2 linked regions of the Sus scrofa genome follow. The main gene of each other region encodes a partner of the protein of the gene in region 2 in a complex. Links are inferred from orthologs where the notes say so. Each region holds a gene or a part of one and is shown on either strand. Other genes may lie near its edges.

The links. The genes of interacting proteins can lie anywhere in the genome.
Region 1: TREX1 (region 2) and NME1 share a complex: the UniProt entries of both Homo sapiens proteins name them as parts of the SET complex. The link is inferred for Sus scrofa from reciprocal best matches to the Homo sapiens genes TREX1 and NME1.

What each region holds. Positions count from the first base shown.
Region 1 is NC_010454.4:27,415,130-27,419,289, forward strand, and holds the start of NME1 (nucleoside diphosphate kinase A), read left to right. Parts: upstream 1-1,307; 5' UTR 1,308-1,400; intron 1,401-4,160. UniProt on the Homo sapiens protein: Major role in the synthesis of nucleoside triphosphates other than ATP. The ATP gamma phosphate is transferred to the NDP beta phosphate via a ping-pong mechanism, using a phosphorylated active-site intermediate.
Region 2 is NC_010455.5:31,176,224-31,180,520, reverse strand, and holds the start of TREX1 (three-prime repair exonuclease 1), read right to left. Parts: upstream 2,837-4,297; intron 2,630-2,836; coding exon of another isoform or gene 2,377-2,629; 5' UTR 1,968-2,376; coding exon of another isoform or gene 1,900-1,967; 5' UTR 912-1,899; coding exon 1-911. Other genes in the region: ATRIP (ATR-interacting protein), read right to left, coding at 1,900-1,967, 2,377-2,629, 2,837-2,917, 3,371-3,462, 3,624-3,760. UniProt on the Homo sapiens protein: Major cellular 3'-to-5' DNA exonuclease which digests single-stranded DNA (ssDNA) and double-stranded DNA (dsDNA) with mismatched 3' termini. Prevents cell-intrinsic initiation of autoimmunity.

The DNA.
Region 1 (4,160 bases), on a different chromosome or scaffold from region 2:
CACCACAGTCACAGCCACAGCCAAGGCCAAGCCAGATCTGAGCTGTGTCTGTCACCTACACCACAGTTCACGGCAATGCTGGATCCTTAACCCACTGAGCCAGGATAGGGATTGAACCCATATCCTCATGGATACTAGTTAGGTTTGTAATTCTCTGAGCCGCCACCTGTTTTGTTTTGGGGGTTTTTGGGTTGCACCCGGGGCATGTGGAAGTTCTCTGAGCTCGGGATCAAATCCATGCCACCGCAGCTACCCAATCTGCTGCAGTGACAATGCTGTATCCTTAACCTGCTGTGCTACAAGGGAACTCCTATCCACATAGTTTTACACTTACAAATCTATAATCCCTCTGGAGTGATTTTCTTTCAAAGTGGGAGGTTTAGGTGGAGGTTTTTTCTTTCCTTCCTTCCTTTCTTCTTACTTTCTTTCTGCCTATAGGTGCTCCAGCACATTTTTTGAAAAGGCTCCTGATTCTATCCTGTACTTTACCACAGCCATTCCTCCTGCAGCAGGCAATGATTTTTTTTTTTAAATGTATCAGATGATATCATGCCCTGCTCAAAATTCTCCAATGGCTTCCCACCACATCATAATCTTGCTGCTCTCCAGTTGCATTTTCTAGCACTTAATGTCCACTGGCTCTCAGGTAATCTGACTTCAGCAGGTCTATTCTACTGTCACCCCCTGAGAGAGCACACCAGTCAACATTTAAAGTACTCCTTTACCCTACCCCCTCGCTGTGCTTTTTCTCAGTAATATTTACATACTATGATATATTACATGTTAATTTGCTCATTTGTTTATTGTTTGTCTTTATTCCCAACCCCACGAGAAGTTCCAAGAAAGTTTACTGCTATACCCCAGACTCTGAAACAATATCTGACACATAGAAGGTACTCAATAAATAATTTGCTTGACAGGCTGGAAAGAATGAGCAAATGTAAAACGAGGACACTGACTACTTCTAGGTCAGGCGCTAGTTCAGTTTTCACGCAAAGTGTGAGCGCCACCTCTCGGGAAGCCAGTTTGCTCGCGAAAGAAGGAAGTGAGTCACAGATCTTAAAGGGAAAAAAAAGATGGCTGCAGCGTGCGAGAAGAATAGGGAGAAGCCGTACCGGAAGTTGAACTTCAGGAAGTTGCTCCCTTGAACGATATCCGACTGTCGGGAGGAAGCGTAGGCGAGTGGTGTTCTGCAAAATGGGCTCTCCTGCAGCCGATTATGCGCAGAAGCGTTCCGCGCGAGCGGGTGCTAGGAACCACGAGGAGCTGGGGCGTGTTTCCGGTGCGGGTGACAGGCGACGGAGTTGAAGCCCAAGTGCCCGGAGGGGTGAGAAGGGTTCGAGGTCCTGAGAGAAAAGGGAGAAGAGTGGGGTCCAGGGAGGGGGAGGTGAAGAGGTCGGGTAAGTTCCACTCGGAGAAGTGGCCAGGGGGATCGGGTGGGAGGGACGCACCCATTGACAGGTGCAAACCTGTCAGCTCACGTCCCGCGCCACGTGGACTCGGCTTTGTCCGTGGCTGCTTTTCCCATCAGTCCGTGACTGTAAGGGTTGTGCCTTATTTGTTTATATCGAGTGCAGTGCTCAGTGCTTACTGAATGAATGACAGATATGTATCAAGAGTGGGTGTGGGGAACACGTATAGGGACTGCTGTTTGTGGCTCTTTAGCCCCATGTTCTCCTAGGGAATTCATGCTTGTCTGTAGCTTCTATTAGGAGTTCTCCGCCAGTTCTTGGGCCTTGTCTCTTTTTCTTGGAGGTGCAGGGCGGTTATCATTTAAGACATTTTCTTTGCTCTTATTGAGTACTAGGCTCTGTAACTAGGTACTAGGGAAGTAAATCATCTCTGTATTCAGGGGCAGGCCTGTGAGAAATAAACAGAAAATTCACATATATTGTTAAGGTGTTGTAATAAAAGGCCAACTAAATTATAGGAAGGTAGAGCCAGGAGGTGGTGCTGCTATCCACATAGGGATTGTCTTTCAAGGTGAGGGGACTCCTTTGTCATCTTGTGGAGGCAGAGCAGGTCCTGAGTTGAGACTTCTTATCTGTAAAAGGAAGAGTCTGAAGTAGGTGGTCTCTAGGCTTTCTTCCAACAGATATTACTCATGGCTACAGTTCTCCCACAATCCACCATTTATTGGTTAGTCAGAATATTCATTAATCTTGTGATGTAGCATAAGCTGCAGAGGGTTGGGAAATCTGGATTGTGACCCTCCTTCTGGTACTCCAGATGTGTTTCCTCATTTGTAAAAGAAAAGATTGTAATGAAATAATCTCTAAACTCCTTCCTGTTATAGCATGCTGAGGTAGTAGGTCAAACTGTATTTCATACTGCCTTGTTTTAGACATCACTCACATATTATCACTGTAGTTTCCCTCATCTGGATAATCCAGAAAGATATTCTTTTCTTTTTCTCTTAATACTTCTTGTCTCAGTTCTGCCATAGTATTGGGTACCCAGTAGATGCTTATGTTAGTCCCCATTGTGGCTCAGTGGCTTAAGAAGCCGACTAGTGTCTGTAAGGATGCAGGTTCGATCCCTGGCCTCACTCAGTGGGTTAAGGATACACATTGCCACAAGCTGCAGCGTAGGTCACAGATGCAGCGTGGATCTGGTGTGGCTGTGGCTGTGGTGTAGGCCTGCAGCTGCACTCTGATTCTACCTCTAGCCTTTCTGTATGCTAGAAGGGTGGGTACAGCCCTAAAAATAAAAACAAAAACAAAAAACTGGCTTCTGCACACAAAGGCAAGGAGAGACTGAAGAAAGGCAGACCACTCCAGATTATAGGTGGCAGTTATAATGACCAAGGGAGCTTGAGGTGGCTGCTGTCACCTACCAGAATTTTAAAAGTTATGCATAGAGTCTTTAAATGGGTTTAGTCATCTATTCAGTCCAGATGGTCTCAACAACACTTTACTCTCTCAAGGCTATGTTTTGTCCTTCGAACAGCCCCTACTATGGGGACAGTAGGCAGAGTGTACCTTTCAAAAACAGAGGTGAGGAGCCTCTAGTTGCCTGGGGACGTATTCTCTCCATGACCTCCTCCAATACTCCACCCCTTGCAACTAGCTCTCACAATCTCATCCCCACTCCCCAGATGCATTGTGCCCTGAGAGATCAGCAAAGGGTGGAGGCGGCTCATTTGGCAGCCATCTGATTGCAGTGGAGGCAGATGTCAGAGCAGCATTATAGAGGCATGTGTAAGAGACGCATGGATTAAGACGATTCCCTAAATAATAACAATTTTCTCCTCCAGGAGCCTCATCATCTGAACCATTGATTTACTAAATCCCTTTGTCAGGCAGTAATAATGTCCTGCTTTGGAGGACAGCTTTTGCCATTAAAGATAAAGTGTTCCATAAAGACAGGTTTTGCAGGCTAGTATTTAAGGCTTGCTGGGTGAATTTAGTAAGGGCTTCTCTCTGTGCTATAATGCCCGTCAGGCCAAAGGAGGGGACAAAAATGGTGGCTAAATGATTGTTCCAGTGGGAAACCGAATGTGCCCATCTGGCCTGGAGGAGAGGGAGGTTGGCAGCTCTAGGAACTTGACCTAGTTATGTATGCTATACATGTTGGCCAGGGCAGGCAGCCCTGTCTGGCATGAGGAGATGGAGTAGGCGTGGGATATGCCAGACCAGGACCCCTTCCTTCTCCCCTCTTCAGAGGTGCATGTTCCCTTCCAGGTATAGCACATCTCAACAGGCCAGCTTGTGGCAGGGCTGCAGCCTCCCAGTGGAAACTGAGTAATTCCCCCTCACCCAGGGGTGGGGCTTAGTGTTCTCAGCAGCACAGTCCATTGATCCACAGAGAGAGCTGTTTCCCAAGACATTGGGTATCTTGGCAGGGGTCTCTCGTCTGGCATAAAAGGCCACAAGTTCTACTGGTTCATCATTCAAATGTATCAAAGTCTGGGACAGTACTTCAGTCCACCTGGCCAGGGTGGTTTTACTTTTTAGTACTTTATTTATTTATTTATTTATTGTCTTTTTGCCCTTTTCTAGGGCTGCTCCCGCGGCATATGGAGGTTCCCAGGTTAGGGGTCGAATTGGAGCTGTAGCTGCCGGCCTACGCCAGAGCCACAGCAACACGGGATCTGAGGCGAGTCTGCAACCTACATCACAGCTCACGGCAACACTGGATCCTTAACCCACTGAGCAAGG
Region 2 (4,297 bases):
AGTGTGGCTACTGCCAAGGTCAGGAAGGCCAGCAGGCCCAGTGGGGCCAGCAGTCCCTCCCTGGGTGGGGTTCCAGGGCTCTTCATTGGAGAAAGGGGCTTGGGGCTTCTGTCCCCACCAAGGTTGGGGCTGGTGTTCCTGGCTTTGGCCAGGAGTACAGTGGCCTTGGCAGCAGATGGCCTTGGGTTGGTTCCAGTAGAGGCTGTGACCACGTACATCGGCTTGACGGTGCTGAAAGGCCTGGCATGAACATCTACCCACCGTAGCAAGGCCCGTGGCCTCCACTGACAGATGCTGAGCAGGGCTAGGACATCACCCTCAGCCGTGTGTGAGTCTGGTGGAGCCTGGCCATACAGGCGTGTATAGATGCTGCCCAGACTGTAGCTCTTCCTTGGGCCGTGCTCCGAGGAGCCGTCAGCTTGCTCCAGGGCCTTCAAGGCTGCAATACTATCCACACAGAAGGTGTCATCCAAAGCACTGGCAAGGCCCAGCATGGCCAGCTCTGCCTGGAGCAGGGGGAAGTCGTAGCGGTCACCGTTGTGTGCCACGAGGCACGAGGGCTGTGGCTGGCGCTGCAGGAAGGCTCGGAGGAGATTGGCCAGGTTGGCATCGAAGTACTGACGCCCATGTGCAGCCAGTACAGCTGTGCTCAGGCCAGTGATCTCGCTGGCTGCAGGGCTGCAGGCCTTCCCTGGAGCCACGCACAGGGAGAGCTTGTCCAGCACCCGAGGTGGCGGTGGCACCGTGGGAGAAGGCCCCTGTGGGATGGGAAGGCTCTCCAGGGCACATCTATGGACAGCTAGCAGGCATAGCTCCGTGACCTTGGGCTGGGAGAAGGGCAGGCCAGTGGCCTCCAGGTCCAAGAAGATGAGGGTCTGCACGGGAGCCTGGGGCAGGGCCTGCGAGCCCATGGTAGGTATCTGGCGCTGAGCCTGGGGAGGAGCATGGGGTGGGGGTGGGGAGGGTGAGTGCCCAGTGATAAGAGGAAAGGAGGGTAGGGGGTGGGTGGGCAGGAAGCCAGAGAAGGTGCGGTGGCTTCCTTTGTGGGATCAGCATACTCAGCTATCTGATCAGGGGAAGGTTTGGCTCCTCCCCTAGAACCCACTTAGCCTGGTGTGTGTGGGGGAGCAGGTACCCACAGCCCTCCCACCCTACCCCATCCCCTTGGGGGTCCTCACCGAACAGCAGGCAGGCAGCAATGACTCAGGGTGAATGCTCTCTGGCTGGTTCTTGCTGCTGGCAGCAGTGGCGGGAAGTGAAACTGGGCCTGAGCCCGCCCAGGAGCTGGTGTGAGCAAAGCCCGCCCCTGCTCGTCAGCCTGCTGGGCTGTCCCTCTTGCCAACACCCGTTCCCTCCCCAGGCACCCACAGTACTGCCTCAAAGGCCTTCTCAGATCTCTGTCTGGCACAGTGCACCAGGACCCCTGGACAGCAGGGGACAGGGCTATCCGGGAAGGCGAGCTCCAGGACTCAAGCCTGCCGGGAGCCCCTGCCATGGCGTTTGTACCCACCCCTTGGCCCCACTTTCCCAGGCCTCCCTGGTTTAGGCCTGGGCTGAAGGGCTGCCTCCTTCTCTGCCACACAATGGTTTCTAACCATGGCCTCAGCCCAATGCGATGACTCAGGGCAATTCCACAGGCAGGGCAGAGCAGGGCTGCTTCCTCAGAGCAGATTCATCACCAAGGGGCTGGATCTCAGCTCCCTCCAGGGACAGTAAGAAGGATCCCAGTTTCCTTGGATCCCGCTCCTACTCTGTCCCTCCCAATCAGCTGACACACATCAGACTCAGGAAACAAAGGCTGGTATGTTCTCAAACAGCCAGTCACTGCTTTTAATCAGTGGATGAGGTAAGGAAATGAGTGGCGCTGGTGCCACCATGTGGCTCGATGTTCACCCGGCCTCAGCCACAGTCCATCTCAGGGTCGTCCACATCGGGCTCTGTGGCGCAGAGGTCATCCAGGGCTGCCTCTGAGCCAAAAGAGAAGAAGGTTCTGTGGCCAAGGCCTAAAGGCGCTGGGACTGCAGCAAGTCCACCTCTCCTCCCACACCCAGGCCCACAGGAACTAACCAGTCCCTTCCATGCCCAGGCCTTGCTCCCTCAGCTACTGCAAGCAAAGTGATACAAAGGCAATTCAGACAGGGATGTTTCTGGAAAAACCGTGGTTCTGCCAGGCTGATTCAACAGATAGGAGCAAAAGGCAGGCTGATAATACTCAGAGAAGAACCGGAGCAGGAAGACAAGAATGGCCCCAGTGCTGGCAAAGGCCGTGAGCACGGAGGGCTGCTGACCTAAGGTGGGGAGGGCTGACCTGCCCATAGACTCCAGGGCAAACCCCAAACGTGGGCTGGGCAGGGAGGGGCCGTCTTGCCGGCTCACCTTCACAGTCTGTCACGTCAGGAAGCCCTCGAATCAGCAAGCTGACCCCTGGCATCACCTGGTCGTACTGATGCAGGACCTCCACGCAGTGCACAGTGAAGAGCTTGTCCTTCTGGGACAGGCTGTGCAGCAGCAGCACTGTGTCCCGCAGACACCGCACTGTCCGCTTCTGCTGGTCAGTCCTCGGGAGCGCCCCCGCCCTCTGCACCGTCAGCCACTGTCTGTGCAGCATCACGGTGAGTGCTCTGACCACCTGGGACAGGGGCAGGCTGAGGTCAGGCCTTCTGGTCGCTGTGCCCTAACAACCTGCTCAGCTGGGCAGCCCCTTTCCTTGCCCCCCAGGTGAGGAAGGTTCTGAGCGGTGCTCTAATCCTGGGGAAGAGCACAGATCCTTGCGCGGGGCCCCCTCACCCACCAACAGAGCCAACCGCTGTTGCCCCTGCTTGTCCCTGGCACTCACCTCCACGTTGCACTGACAGCTGGAGCCGGTAACTGGGGAAGAGGGGCTCTGGACACCAAGCTTAGCCAGGAGCCACACGGCCTAGAACAGGAAGAGATTCTGTTCCATCCATGGCAGAACAGGACCTTGGTCAGTGAGAGCTTTCTCAAGCTTCTCTAAGAGCTCCGGTTGTCTCAGCAACTGCTCCTCTGCACTAAGGATCCTAGAGGTGGTAGTATTGTGAGGCCTTCCCAGGAGAGGCTTGCCAACACCTGTGTCTCACCAGTGACCCACCTCGTTCCAGGCTACCTCCAGCCACCAGGCCCCCAAACCAGGGGAGCATCAGTTATCAGGCAACCCTGCTAAGTCCCAGGATCCCCAGAAGTCCGCCTGTACTGGATCTGTGTTGTATGGAGCTCCCCAAGTGAGTTTACCTTGTTAGTGGCTGAACTCATTACCAAAATGAATTAAAGCTCCCTTTGTTCCCAGAAGGAGGAAAAGTGGCTCTGGAGTGGGGTGGTGAGCAGGCCACAGAAGGGGCTCTAGTAGTTTTACCTCTTGTTCCAGCTGAAGCCACTGTGTCTCCGAGGCTGCTTTGTCAGGCCTTGACGTGATGTACATGTACAGGAGGAGGAGGAGGCAGCCTTCTGGAAAGGATGTCCCACCTGTCATTCAGGGTTCCCCTCCCTACCCAGCACCTGGGTACAAGCTGCAGAAGCCCTCAGGAGGCCCCTGACCTGTCCCTGCCACCACCCTTCACTGCAACTTGCAGGAGCAGCCTAGACGTACACCCCAGGCCTACTTTTACCTGAGTGGGAACAGAGCTGAGGGGCGAGCTTCTCATGGTCCGCCAGGAGGGACAGGAGCTCAACAGTCAGTAGCACACCAGGCAGGGGTGTCTCTGGGCGCAGGCACTGGGGCAGCACCCGGAACACGCACTGGAACCTGAAACGGGCCCAGAGAGATGTGACACCTCCGACCCACTCCCATAACTCACCCTCACTTTTTACTGGAGGTTAACAGGAACTTCCAAGAGGCCAGTGCAAAGAGAAAACTTGATTCAGAAAGATCTGGGTTCAAATGGCAGCCTACTTGCGGATACTCATTTTATGTGACCAAGTGGGTACCACCCTCCACTGCAGGACTGCTGTGGCTTGGAGATGACAGGTCCTTAGCTGACAGTGCTGTCCAGCATTTGTATTTCAGGATGCCTCCTTGGACCTGGGGTGCCTGGCCTCCATATTGCTCCTGGGAGGCTCTGCTCCCAAATAGGAGGCAGGTCTTAACTTGGGTGTGAGAGAAATGTCCTGGGATACCACCAAAGAATGAGCCAGGCTTCAGCAGTGATGGAGCCTTGGCTATGGCTGGATCTTATGAGGCTAGCCAACCCACCGCCTGGGAATGCAGCCCCACCCATTAGTAGACAGGCTGCCTAAAGACTTTCTGAGGAGTTCCCACTGTGGTGCAATGGGGTTGGTGGTG